2 linked regions of the Bombyx mori genome follow. The protein of the gene in region 2 binds, or shares a complex with, the protein of the main gene of each other region. Links are inferred from orthologs where the notes say so. Each region holds a gene or a part of one and is shown on either strand. Other genes may lie near its edges.

The links.
Region 1: general transcription and DNA repair factor IIH helicase subunit XPB (region 2) and DNA-directed RNA polymerase II subunit Rpb4 share a complex: the UniProt entries of both Homo sapiens proteins name them as parts of the TBP-based Pol II pre-initiation complex. The link is inferred for Bombyx mori from reciprocal best matches to the Homo sapiens genes ERCC3 and POLR2D.

What each region holds. Positions count from the first base shown.
Region 1 is NC_085114.1:9,604,756-9,614,264, reverse strand, and holds the start of DNA-directed RNA polymerase II subunit Rpb4, read right to left. Parts: upstream 5,523-9,509; 5' UTR 5,413-5,522; exon of another isoform or gene 5,404-5,412; intron 4,606-5,403; 5' UTR 4,239-4,605; intron 1-4,238. Other genes in the region: uncharacterized protein LOC119628842, read left to right, coding at 5,859-5,907, 6,100-6,339, 6,517-6,675, 7,636-7,784. UniProt on the Homo sapiens protein: Core component of RNA polymerase II (Pol II), a DNA-dependent RNA polymerase which synthesizes mRNA precursors and many functional non-coding RNAs using the four ribonucleoside triphosphates as substrates.
Region 2 is NC_085117.1:11,798,180-11,801,679, reverse strand, and holds part of general transcription and DNA repair factor IIH helicase subunit XPB, read left to right. Parts: coding exon 1-152; intron 153-669; coding exon 670-818; intron 819-1,869; coding exon 1,870-2,021; intron 2,022-2,646; coding exon 2,647-2,813; intron 2,814-3,295; coding exon 3,296-3,466; intron 3,467-3,500. UniProt on the Homo sapiens protein: ATP-dependent 3'-5' DNA helicase/translocase. Binds dsDNA rather than ssDNA, unzipping it in a translocase rather than classical helicase activity. Component of the general transcription and DNA repair factor IIH (TFIIH) core complex.

The sequences.
Region 1 (9,509 bases), on a different chromosome or scaffold from region 2:
CGAAATTAGAATGTCTGATTTATCAAATGAGGAGAAAGTTAAGAAAAATAAAAAGCTTAAAAAACATTTAACAAGTTTATGGAATCGGCGTGAGGAGTGGTGTTTAGCATATCGCTCTAATATTCTAACACGAGGGAATAACACAAACAATTACTGTAAATCCTCAATAAGAATTTTTAAAGACGTAGTACTGCAGCGCTGTAAAGTGTTCAATATGTGCGCGTTAGTTGACCTTATCGCGAATACCTTTGAACACAAGAAAAGGTTGATTCAGTTTGCCAATGGGCGGGCAAGAAATCTTATGTTAGCGTATGAAAAATTTTGCCAAGCAAGTAGTAGTATTAAGGATATTGTACACATGGATGACAATACCTATTTCGTGAAAAAGAAGACTGATCTGTATGTTGTGGACTGTGAATTGGCAACATGTGACTGTCCGTATGGTGCTGGGGGCCGATTTTGTAAACATATCTGCGCTGTAGAAAGAAAACATGGGACTGTACTTACCACATCGCTACATTTGAATGACTGTGATCGTCAACAATTTGCAAAATTCGCCCTGGGTGACCAGTTTTTACCGTCGTTCTTTAAAAATATTACGGGCACAAATAGTGAAGACAGCCAAACTGACTCTATTACACCAGATGATGTTGTACCAAACACTTTTGAACTTCCAATAAATCGAGCGGAAAACAGTGTAATTATAAACAATGAAAACTTTGACACTGCTATTCAAAATATTAAAGCTCAGTGGCAAAGAATTACTGATATCTTGGAAAAGGATTCAAATGCTGCATACACAAACATTCTTACAAAGTTTGAATCTGATTTGTCGAAGCTACAAACTCCATCGAGTATTATATCATTTAGAGTTGAAAAAAATGTCGCACGAAAATCTCGAAAAATTAATGTACAACCAACATCGCTCGCTCGCCGCAAAGAAAGGTTTACCATGCAGTGGAAGGATTCAATCAGGACGACCAGCCAAGTCAGAAACGGTGAAAAGAAAACGTGTTCATAATATTGCATCTAATATTGATGATAATGAGCCTCCTGCCAAAAAACATTAATTTTATAAAATTACTTAATTATATTTGTATAAGTACCTACGTTGATTGCCTGCAATACAATACCATATTCATACATCTTTGAATATATGTAGATATATTTTGATCCTAATAAAAGGTTAAAGACTTTGTTTGAGTTTTCCTGCCCATTCATTAAACAACACAAAAGTGCCTTCGAACAAACACGGATTTGTGGCGTTGGAGTCACTAGAAGTCTTATCAGGTTAACGTTGGCTTGCATCTAATGACTTTTTTTTTTTTTTTTTTTTTCCTACCTAAGCTGATAGCCTTGAGAGGCTATGTCAGCGTAACCCTAACTTTAGTAGGTGAGCTCACGGGGCTCAACCTGACGATGTTGCTAACACGAACCCTAGCAAGAGCCGTGTTTCGCAGAATCTACCACCGGATCGGAAACGCGACCCACTGAGAAGATCCGGCGAGAAACTCAGTGGGCTGTGTCTGAGAGTTAATTTACTCGTCGAGCCCTTCGTCGAAAGCGACGGGTTCGACGAGAACGGTGACCGGTGCTTGAAGTACCTAGAAGCACCGTTAGTGGATCGGGAGCATCCGAGATGACGTGTTTTGGGCGACGTCGACTGCTTTCCATTCTGTCCGCAGGATCGGGAATGTAGTTACCGGCGGCCACGATGAGAGGGTTCTCGTGTCGTGCCGCTTTATCGAAGTGGCGCATTGACGCCGACTGTATATACTTACTGATGGACTCTAAGTCCAGGTCGTCATGGAGGTCGACGTTCCTGACGAACCACGGGGCTCCGACGGCTATCCTGCAAAAACGGGATTGAATGATTTGGAATGACTTTAAGTGAGTGCGGGCCGCGTGAGCGAACACTACACTTGCATAGGTCATGACGGGGCGTATGCAAGTTTTGTAGAGTGTCACCTTATTTCTAAGGGACATTTTACTTCGCCTACATATCATCGGGTAGAGACGTCCTAGAATGAAGGCGGCACGGTCGCGTACCGTCTTGATGTGGGGGCGGAATGTCATCCTACTGTCGAGGGTGACGCCTAAATATTTGACCTTCGGGGCCCACGGTATGGGCTGGTCGAACATCGTGATTGGGCGAACGGCGGGGGCGGAGGTGTTGACGCGCCTAGTCGGGAGGGATGACGTTTTATACAAAACATGCCTTTTTATACCTGCAGTTGGTCTTGCAAACTGCAGTGAGTTGAGGGAGCAATTTTTGGAGTTTGCTGTTGTCGTTTTGTTTCAGCAGGCAGGTAAACTTATCATGTCTTATGTGGTATCATTGAATAGGTATTGAACTATCCTTTAACCTTATGTTAAAAAATATATGTATTTTTTTAAATAAAAAGAAGTAAATAATATTTTTCAAAAAATGTACAGATGTGCGATTTCATTGCACCCGAGTGTAGATATATTTTGATCCTAATAAAAGGTTAAAGACTTTGTTTGAGTTTTCTTGCCTATTCATTAAACACAAAAGTGCCTTCGAACAAACACGGATTTGTGGAGCTTAATCAAGGCGCATACTTGCAAACCCGTGCGCGATTGGAGGACGCGTACCCTGAATTGAACACGTGTTTAGAAGGGCAGTTGGCGTTGCAAACCCGTGCGCGATTTGAGGACACGTGCCTTGAATTGAACACGATTTTGTAAAGGAAGCTAGCGCGACAAACCCGTGCGTGTTTCAAGGCAGTACTGCCTCCTAATGAACACGGAAATGGAAATACGCTACCCGGTCGAGGGGGGTAACGGACCGGGTTATGTCGGACTCCGGCGCCTCCTGGCCTGGCCTCCTGAGAGGAAGAAGGGGAGAAGAGAAGGGCCGAGGTCCTTCACCTGCCCCAATTTCTCATAGGAGACTACGCCTTGAAAAAGGCGCGCGAAGCACTTACCCCGCAGAACGACTACCGACTAAACCCCATCGAGCTCCACCACACCGACTACACGAAACTTACGGTACCGCGATGCGCGCCGAAAGTCTCGCCTTAGGCGGTACCCGTACTAATGTTAAGACGGGATTTCATCCCCGGGAAAATCCCGTAGTCGTCGTGGCCTAACGGATAAGACGTCCGGTGCATTCGTGTTGAGCGATGCATCGGTGTTCGAATCCCGCAGGCGGGTACCAATTTTTCTAATGAAATACGTACTCAACAAATGTTCACGATTGATTTCCACGGTGAAGGAATAACATCGTGTAATAAAAATGAAACCCGCAAAATTATAATTTGCGTAATTACTGGTGGTAGGACCTCTTGTGAGTCCGCACGGGTAGGTACCACCACCCTGCCTATTTCTGCCGTGAAGCAGTAATGCGTTTCGGTTTGAAGGGTGGGGCAGCCGTTGTAACTATAATTGAGACCTTAGAACTTATATCTCAAGATGGGTGGCGCATTTACGTTGTAGATGTCTATGGGCTCCAGTAACCACTTAACACCAGGTGGGCTGTGAGCTCGTCCACTCATCTAAAAAATCTGTCTCTGTAATAAATTAACTTTTTAAACAAGATTTAAATATAAAACAGTAAAATTGCTCGTGTTTTGGATATAAAACTGCAAAAATATTCGTAAAATATCGAAAACCGAATCAGAGCACATCACTTTCCACCTGGTCTTGTCTGCCCTACCCCTAGAGTGTATATAAAAAACCGGAGGCGCGGAGGGAGAGCAGTCCTCGCCAATATTAGTTAGTATTTAAAGTATTAAGTACATTTTGGCAAAACTAGCTTCACATATCATTAATATTAATAAATTCAGTTGTCAGTCCTAAGCCTGAGAAAGCATGAAGGATTGTTTTCATTTAAAAAAATGTATTAAAACCATTTCATATGTTATAACTGTTCCTATAAGTGGACATATTCTATTTAAAACATTATTAAACCTGTTGCAAAACAAAACGCTGTTATATTGGAACAGGCTACTGGAACTGTTCTTTCGCTGGAACAGGAACAGGTGGAACAGGTCTCTAATTTCACCTGTTACAGACCATCCCTAGTTTGGACAGGCAAAGGGAGATTAGTCGATTTAGCAAAGGATTCTGTAATGGGAACTATCACGGAAAAAAGATTGCTCCAAAATCGCGAACAGTAGTTGGCTTATGTAAATTTTAACACCACGTTGCATGATTGAAAAATAATACCCACTAGATAAATTTTCCATTCTTACTTCTCAAATGAAAATAATTACCTGTGTCGAAACTATTCCAGCCTTCACACTTACACAATTATCACCTGATCAACTTTGACTACCGTGGCCCCGGCACATCTTACGTTCTTCGATAGTCTACCTACCTACTACTTCGATAGTATACTTAAGTGTCAATAAATTCCCACTATTTTACTGGAACATCTTTAATTTATTTCATCTTAACACGTTTCATTCCATTTAGTTTCATTAAATTTCATCCAGAGCATCCATTAGTCACGTCCACTGAACTCTCAGTTAATAATCCTTGTTTTACTGAGACGATTTTATTTCATCCCATTGAGGGAGTCCGTATAAAGTCCCTTCTTTATTTCGCGGGAAAATCGTGTTTTATGTAATTAACACCACACTTGAAACAATAGGAGTTTTATTGTTGCAGCGGCTTATACAGTTCTAAGTTATACCATTTTTTTTTTTCGTCCTTTAAATATTCAGCGGTAAAAAAAATTTTTTTGGGTATTTTATGTCCAGCTCAACTAAGACCTTTAGGTCATGTCTTATTTTAATTCATATTCTTAATTTTATGAAAAATTATATAATGGAAAGAAGTGAAATGCAATGAAGATGATTAATTTGAGACAATAATCAAGTAAGATGAAATTAAATATAGTGAGATGAGATGATATGGGATGAAATATAATCTCAGTAAAATGGTGGTCATTTAATGAAAGGACATGGGCCATTTTCGGCCCAGCTACTCGTGCCCTCAAGGACATTAATAAAATATCTATAGAAAAAAACATTTCATTTTTACATACTTATTATAAAATTTAAGGGTATTTTAATGGTGGGATAATCAAAAGCATAAATAAAAAGAAATACTTAAGCATGATTAAGCTACATTGATAATATTGAAGGAGCTGCCATGGGTAAAATATATTTATATTTTAAATAATTCATATTAAATCTTCTTAAAGAAAACAATGTATTACAAAAAACTAGCAAAATATATTAACATATTTAATCGATAAATATAAATAATAGATAAGCTGATGATGATGTTCGTTTAGTGGGGCGTGCAATGTATGGTCCATGTCCTTTTTTCAGTGGACTTTTTGGAGGATTCCGGGGAAGTTATGTTCAGCGGCTTTGTTGCATTTTCCCACATTTGTGAACTTTCACAGATATTAAACAGTTAATAAATCACCGTTATTACACATTTAAACCTGAAGAAATACTAAATCGACAAAATAAAACAAATCACACAACTTCACTCCTCGCGTTCCCGCCAAAAAGTCCCGGACTCCCGGCGGTAAAAAGGTCCCGTGTCACAGACTATCTTCTTTTTCCCACCTCTTGTGCGATCCGGCTTACGCATCATAAAACATCCTAGTTTCATATAATGTCACTCAAATTTAAAGACTAACATTAGTTAAGTTCATCTCATTTAGCTTCATATGAATTCTGATTTATCAGATTAGAATTTCTACGTGCTCTTTACGTAGAAATTATATTATAGCTGGACTAGAAGGTCTTGTAACCGCTGGCTGTAAGCCAATTGCAATATTGAAAAATTAAGAAGAACAAAAACACTTCAATTTTATTATCTACTTAGAGACTCGGCTAAAGATATTTATTTCAAATTTAAGTAATAAGTTCGTAATGTCCAAAACTCCAATAAAAGAATTGGCTATCAACTTTGTACCTAGAGGTAATTATTTACATAGAGTTTGATTTATAAACTATTATGGTTACGTTGCTGGGTATCAATATCACTTATTATCAAGTGGGCTGTGAGTTTGTCTGCCCATCATCGATTAAGAAGAAAAAGTTTAACAAACAAAATTTCTGTTGTCCATGTCGATTGAAATAGTAAGTAATTTAATAAATGATATTATTTCAGAGATTACAACTCCAAATAAAGACCAACCAGGCTTATCAAAGACTGTATTTTCACATGTGTCTTCGTTTCATAGTTTGTTAATTGATTGGGTCAAACTAAAAGATAAAGGTTCTAAGTTTTGTAAAGGGATCTCATCAGTGAAACTGCACGAGTATAATGATGATTATTATCCGCACCTATTGAAGCCATTGACTGAGGGCTTAGTTGAAATTATAGATAGCTTTCAAAATATTATCGAGGGTAAGTAAAATGATGTATGTTAGTCTAACAATCAACTACAATATTGGAGTATGTGAGACTACTTTTAATAATGTTACAGTTTAAACAATTTAATGGAATGGAATATACATTAACTTTCTAATCAATCTAATTCTAATGCAAAACTGAACTATGTCATATTTAAATGTTTCATTTCAGGTATAAAAATACTAAAAAATCAACTGGATTCACTATCAAAATTGCAGTCGACTGACCAGCCAGTAATTTTGACATGGTCAGTAGGCCGAATTCATGCTTGTGTTAAAAATACATATGAATCACTCTTAAAGGAGTACAAACTAAAAAAAATTGTGACAGGTGAAAATTATTATTATTTATTGAAACATACTGGTGGTAAGACCTCTTGTGAATCCGCACGGGTAGGTACCACCACCCTGCCTATTTTAGACGTGAAGTAGTAATGCATTTCAGTTTGAAGGGTGGGGAACCTGTTTTAATTATACTTGAGGCATTAGAACTTATATCTCGAGGTGGGTGGCGCATTTACGCTGTAGATGTCTATGGGCTCCAGTAACCACTTAACAACAGGTGGGCTGTGAGCTCGTCCACCCATCTAAGCAATGAATAAAAACAACATGCCCGTGATTACATTAGAATTCTAAGACAAGTATTCCCTTTTTTAAAACCATTCAATTCTATGCAGGCCTCCAAAATAATTAATAAACAAAATAAATAATAATAATTAATAGAAAATTTTTGGGATACAAAACATAATTTTCAGAAAATATCCGGCTTTATTTGCTACAGAATAGATTTCACATACTGCTTCCTGACAACTCTGTGATAACTCAATAATTTACATTTTTATCTTATTGGTAATTTAAGGTAAACATAATTCATCATCATCATCATCTCAGCCTGTCCATTGTCCACTGCTGAACATAGGCCTCTCCAAGTGATCTCCAGTGCAGCCGGTCCGTTGCCACCTGCATCCAACGTGACCCAGCGGTTCTTACCAGGTCGTCGGTCCATCTCGTAGGTGGCCGTCCCACACTGAGCTTGCCAGTACGTGGTCTCCACTCGAGGATCTTTCCGCCCCATCGGCCGTCCGATCTTCGCGCTATGTGGCCTGCCCACTGCCACTTCAGTGTGCTAATCCTACGGCCTATGTCAGTAACTTTGGTTCTTCTACGGATCTCCTCGTTTCTGATTCGGCCCCGTAGAGAAATACCAAGCATAGCCATCTCCATAGCTCGCTGCGCGACGCTGATAATTATAATTATAAACATAATTAATGTATATAATTTCTGTTTTCAGAAAACATAGCACACTGTAGAGATGAAAGCCTCATTGAAGTTTATGTTAGTTCTTGGGAATTTGACCCATATTTGAACATGGAAGAAAATGCTTATTTATTTGCAGAAATTGGTGTTGCTGGAATTTCTTCATTTAAAAAAATAATTTAATGCTCATTCGTCAGTATTGTCTATGTCAAGTCATTTTTGGATGTTTTAAAAGTCACAGACAATTTAATTATAAAGCTTTAAAGGCCTTATGACTAAGTGTAAACTTACTATTTTTATCTTGTACTGTAAATTGTACAATTATTTAGTATAATCCTATAGAAGTTTCAAATACAAAATAACATTTACTGATATACATGAGTGTAGTAGAGTAAAATTGACTGTATCTTTTCTATAAATTATATTGTATTAATTTGTAATAATTAAAAAATATGTAAAAACTTGTGTTTATCTTTCTAATTATATTTAGTAATAGATATAAAAAAATATGAGTAAAAAATCCATTCCCAAACTCGGAACAGTGATAAATTACTACCCTATCTTGGCTATAGAATACCATCTCTCATATTTACCCGTAAGTGACGCAAAAAGCGATTAAGAGAGTTACTGGAGAATGGGCAGCAGGGTTCTCTGACGATCGTCAATCGCCATTTACTTGTGGGTATGGGGTTTATAGGGAGGTATCACCATTTGGCCTATTTTTGTTGGGATGTTATCAAGAATTTCGGTTTAAAGGGTAGGACAGCCATTATACAACACAAATGAGACTGTTAACCTCATGATTTTTATGAGCTCTGGTAACCACTTTACACTTGTGAGACCGCGGGATGGATGTAATATGCTCTGTATTAATCCTGTCCCGCCGTCGCAATAGCCCCGACTGGGCTCCGGCCCGGTCTGGGGTAGGGCACCGGCTGTGAGCGGCAAGAGTTTTTACCGAGGTTTAACTTCCACATACCCACCTGCCGCGCGGTTGGGGATCCAGCGATTTTCTCCACAAGACTTGCTTAGATGGATGGACGAGCTCACGGCCTCTTAAGTGGTTACCAGATATCATAGACATCCGCAATGTAAATGCCGCCACCCAGCTTGAGATATGAGTTCTAAAGTCTCAGTATAATTACAACGGCTGCCCCAACCTTCAGACCGAAACGCATTACTACTTCACCGCAGAAATAGACAGGGTGGTGGTACCCACCCATGCGGACTCACAAGAGGCCCTACCACCAGTCTGAGTTAAATGTACTAATATTAAAATAATAATAATAAGTATAACAGTAGAAATATCTTACAACTTAATCTATGAAAGCGCTTTATATGGTCTACCGGGAAGAGAGTGGGCGATTAACCGTAGAACTCCTCAATTTAACCAAAAACACCTACGTATTGTTACAAAATTAGGTTCATGGTAAAAAGGTTCTGACCTCGACATTCACAATTATTGCCTCTAATTTACATAAGGTCAATTTAAGATGTGATATGAAAGCGAGGCTAGTCGTTGCCACGGCAATCGGACCCAAACAAACCTAAACGAACCACCGACTTAACTAAAATTTAATGCAGACCTTACAAATGAATCTTGATAGCTAACAGAGGTAACTATCTACACGAGACTTAATAATAAACTTAATGGCTCGGTTGATAAAATAGCTAGCAAAAAGGTGGTTGTTATTTTTTTCATAATTCAAACTTATGATCTTTCACTAAAGCGTGACTGTGTTATAATAACTCCACCGATGTACATAACATATTACGCTTTCAAGATAGTATATAGATACAGTCGGTCGGAACTTGTAGTGTAGATACATACCACAGCTTATGTTTTTAATTCTGCGCTAAGTGATCACCGAAGCCCTTTACTGGTGGTAGGGTGTCTTGTGAGCCCTG
Region 2 (3,500 bases):
TACGCGGCAGTTTCGGTGGGCCTACAGACCAATGACATTATTGAGTACCTGCAGAGACTGAGCAAGTGTGCTGTACCGGCCGGCATCGTAGAGTTCATTAAACTATGTACCCTCTCTTATGGTAAAGTGAAGCTGGTGTTAAAACATAACAGGTCAGTTCTGCTTCATTGCTTGTCATCCATCTAAAATAAAATTAAGCTAGGTAAGGCTAATCATTTTATTTTTCGATCACGATTTTTAGTAGCTTCTCAGATGAGCTGGTGAAAAACATGTTCGTACCGGTATAAGGACTTCAATGCTCCCTGTGCTGTGTAGCATATGTATTATGGGGACGACTCTGAGGAATTTTTTGCCTAGGAGTGTGCCACCGAATTTACTAATATTCATTGCATAAATAGCGACCACCCTCCTGATGCTAATAGCAAAATATGCCTTCACAAAGTTCATTAAAAGCTGTTTATTCAGAGCCAGAAAGAAGAGTATTTAAACAGTTAGAGTTTTTTTATTATTTATTACCCTTATAGGCAGACGAGCATACGGCCCACCTGATGGTGAGTGGTTACCGTCGCTCATGGACTTCAGCAATGCCAGGGGCAGAGCCAAGCCGCTGCCTACCGTATATAAAAACGTAGTACAAGAATACTGTTTGTAATAATATAAAGTTTGCAGGTATCTAGTCGAGAGTAAGCACGTGGAGGTACTGCAGAAGCTATTGAAAGATCCAGTGATTCAACAGTGCAGGCTGCGACGCGACGGCGACGAGGATCTGCTGTCCAACGACCTGCCCGCCAAGCCAGCCACGTCCCTCGCCAAACCAGGTGACGTATGCCTCAGCAAGACGCGGCGTCGAAGCGTAATACTTAGAGTTGGTTTCCTGTAAGCGGTCGCGGTTTTAACATCGAACGAATGGTACCTAGTGATCGCCTTTGACTATTTTGCAAACAAAGGGTTTATCTAAATTGGAAACAATTAACATAGAGCAACAAAACTTCCATCAAGTGATATGTCCCAATATTTTTGATTAGTATAGATATACATAAACACGAAATGTTTATAAAACATTCTTTTAGGTTTTGTTAGATTTAACAAAAAAATAACAATTCAGATACTCTCTTAACTTATAGAGTGACGCCGGAGGTTGTTTTCAAGTCATAATAACTAAAATGTTATGTGTGATTTGAATAAACAGGACTAGTCATATAGTGGAAAAATAGCATAGTGTGCATTACAGTGGAAAGTCGTCGTGGCCTAAAGGATAAGACGTCCAGTGCATTCGTACCTAGCGATGCAACGGTGTTCGAATCCCGCAGGCGGGTACCAATTTTTCTAATGAAATACGTACTTAACAAATGTTCACGATTGACTTCCACGGCAAAGGAATAACATCTTGTAGTAAAAATTAAACCCGCAAAATTATAATTTTCGTAATTAATGGTGGTAAAATAAATAAAAAATTGTTACGTTACAAATATTTGCTTTTTTTATTGCTTAGGTGGGTGGACGAGCCCAGAGTTCATAGACATCTACAATATAAATACCGTCACCCACCTTGAGATATGAGTAAGGTCTCAGTATAGTTACAGCCGCCCCACTCTTGAAACCGAAACGCATTACTGCTTCACGACGGAAATAGGCAGGGTGATAGTACCTACCCGTGCGGACTCACAATACGTCCTACCACCAATTACTTATTTGCCTATTTACATATTACTGATTGTGTTGCCGAATTTTAAAACGATGACGTACCATTTGTAAGAAGCAATTTGTGTATGTTTCTGTAGTGACCTATAAAACTTATCCTTAAAATAATCTCGTAACTGTCTGTCCATCTGCGTCTTAAGTTTACTTGACTGCTTCTCAAACGATCAGGTGAAGAAAAACCACCGGCGGCGAACGGCGCTGTGCCCGACGACATCAGTCAGTTCTATCAGCAACTAGATAAGGATGACGACGAGGAGGAGACCTCTGGTGTTACTGCCAACGCAGCTGTTGCCTTTGAAGTGGATCCTGACAAAATCGAAGTGAGTGTGCCAATGAATATTAATCCTATTGAAAATTTTAGCAACCCATACATTTTTTTTATTGCTTATATGGGTGGACGGGCTCACAGCCCACCTGGTGTTAAGTGGTTACTGGAGCCCATAGACATCTACAACGTTAATGCGCCACCCACCTTGAGATATAAGTTCTAAGGTCTCAAGTATAGTTACAACGGCTGCCCCACCCTTCAAACCGAAACGCATTACTGCTTCACGGCAGAAATAGGCAGGGTGGTGGTACCTACCCGCGCGGACTCACAAGAGGTCCTACCGTAGCATCGGTCACCACTTTCGTCGAACCCGTCGCTTGCGACGAAGGGCTCGGCGAGTAAACTTACCCACCGACCCAGCCCACTGAGTTTCTCAGTAGGTCGCGTTTCCGATCCGGTGGTAGATTCTGCGAAGCACGGCTCTTGCTAGGGCTAATGTTAGCAACGTCGTCAGGTTTAAGCCCCGTGAGCTCACCTACTTGTTAAGGCTACGCTGAAATGGTCTCTCAAGACCATCAAGCTTAGATAGGGAAAAAATAATAAAAAAAGGTATTTAAAACATACTGTGTGTTCAAAAAAAAAAAAAAAAATTGTTTTATAAACCATTTTGTTTTAAGGTAATACAAAAACGTTGTATCGAGTTGGAGCATCCATTGCTGGCTGAGTACGACTTCCGGAACGACTCCATCAATCCGGACATCAACATTGATCTTAAACCAACTGCCGTTTTGCGACCTTATCAAGAGAAGAGCTTGAGGAAAATGTTCGGCAACGGCAGGGCGAGGTGAATAGCCATTGCTTTGTTTGGTTCTGACAAAATTAGTCTATTCAGTCACAGGAATACAGCAAGGCAGTGATTTTTGACACGATGACATCATGCATTGCACGCTGACTAACATAGGCAATTGATGGAATCGAAGCTCGGGGTCGGGTGAGAAACGCATTACTGCTTCACGGCTGAAATAGGCGGGTGGTGGTACCCACCCGCCCGGACTCAAGAGGTCCTACCACCAATTACTTATTTGCCTGTTTACATATTACTGATTGTGTTGCCGAATTTTAAAACGATAATTTTTATAACACGATGTTATTCCTTCACCGTGGAAGTCAATCGTGAACTTTTGTGAAGTACTTATTTCATTAGAAAAATTGGTATCCGCCTGCGGGATTCGAACACCGGTGCATCGCTCGACACGAATGCACCGGACGTCTTATCCTTTAGGCCACGACGACTCAGTAATGCACGGCACTTCCTGTATGTACCAGGTCAGGCGTGATAGTGTTGCCGTGCGGCGCCGGCAAGTCGCTGGTGGGCGTGACGGCGGTGTGCACGGTGCGCAAGCGCGCCCTCGTGCTCTGCAACTCCGGCGTCTCCGTGGAACAGTGGAAGCAACAGTTCAAGTGCTGGTCCACGGCGGACGACAGCATGATCTGCAGGTCACTGACCCCATTATTTTAACCGACTTAAGGC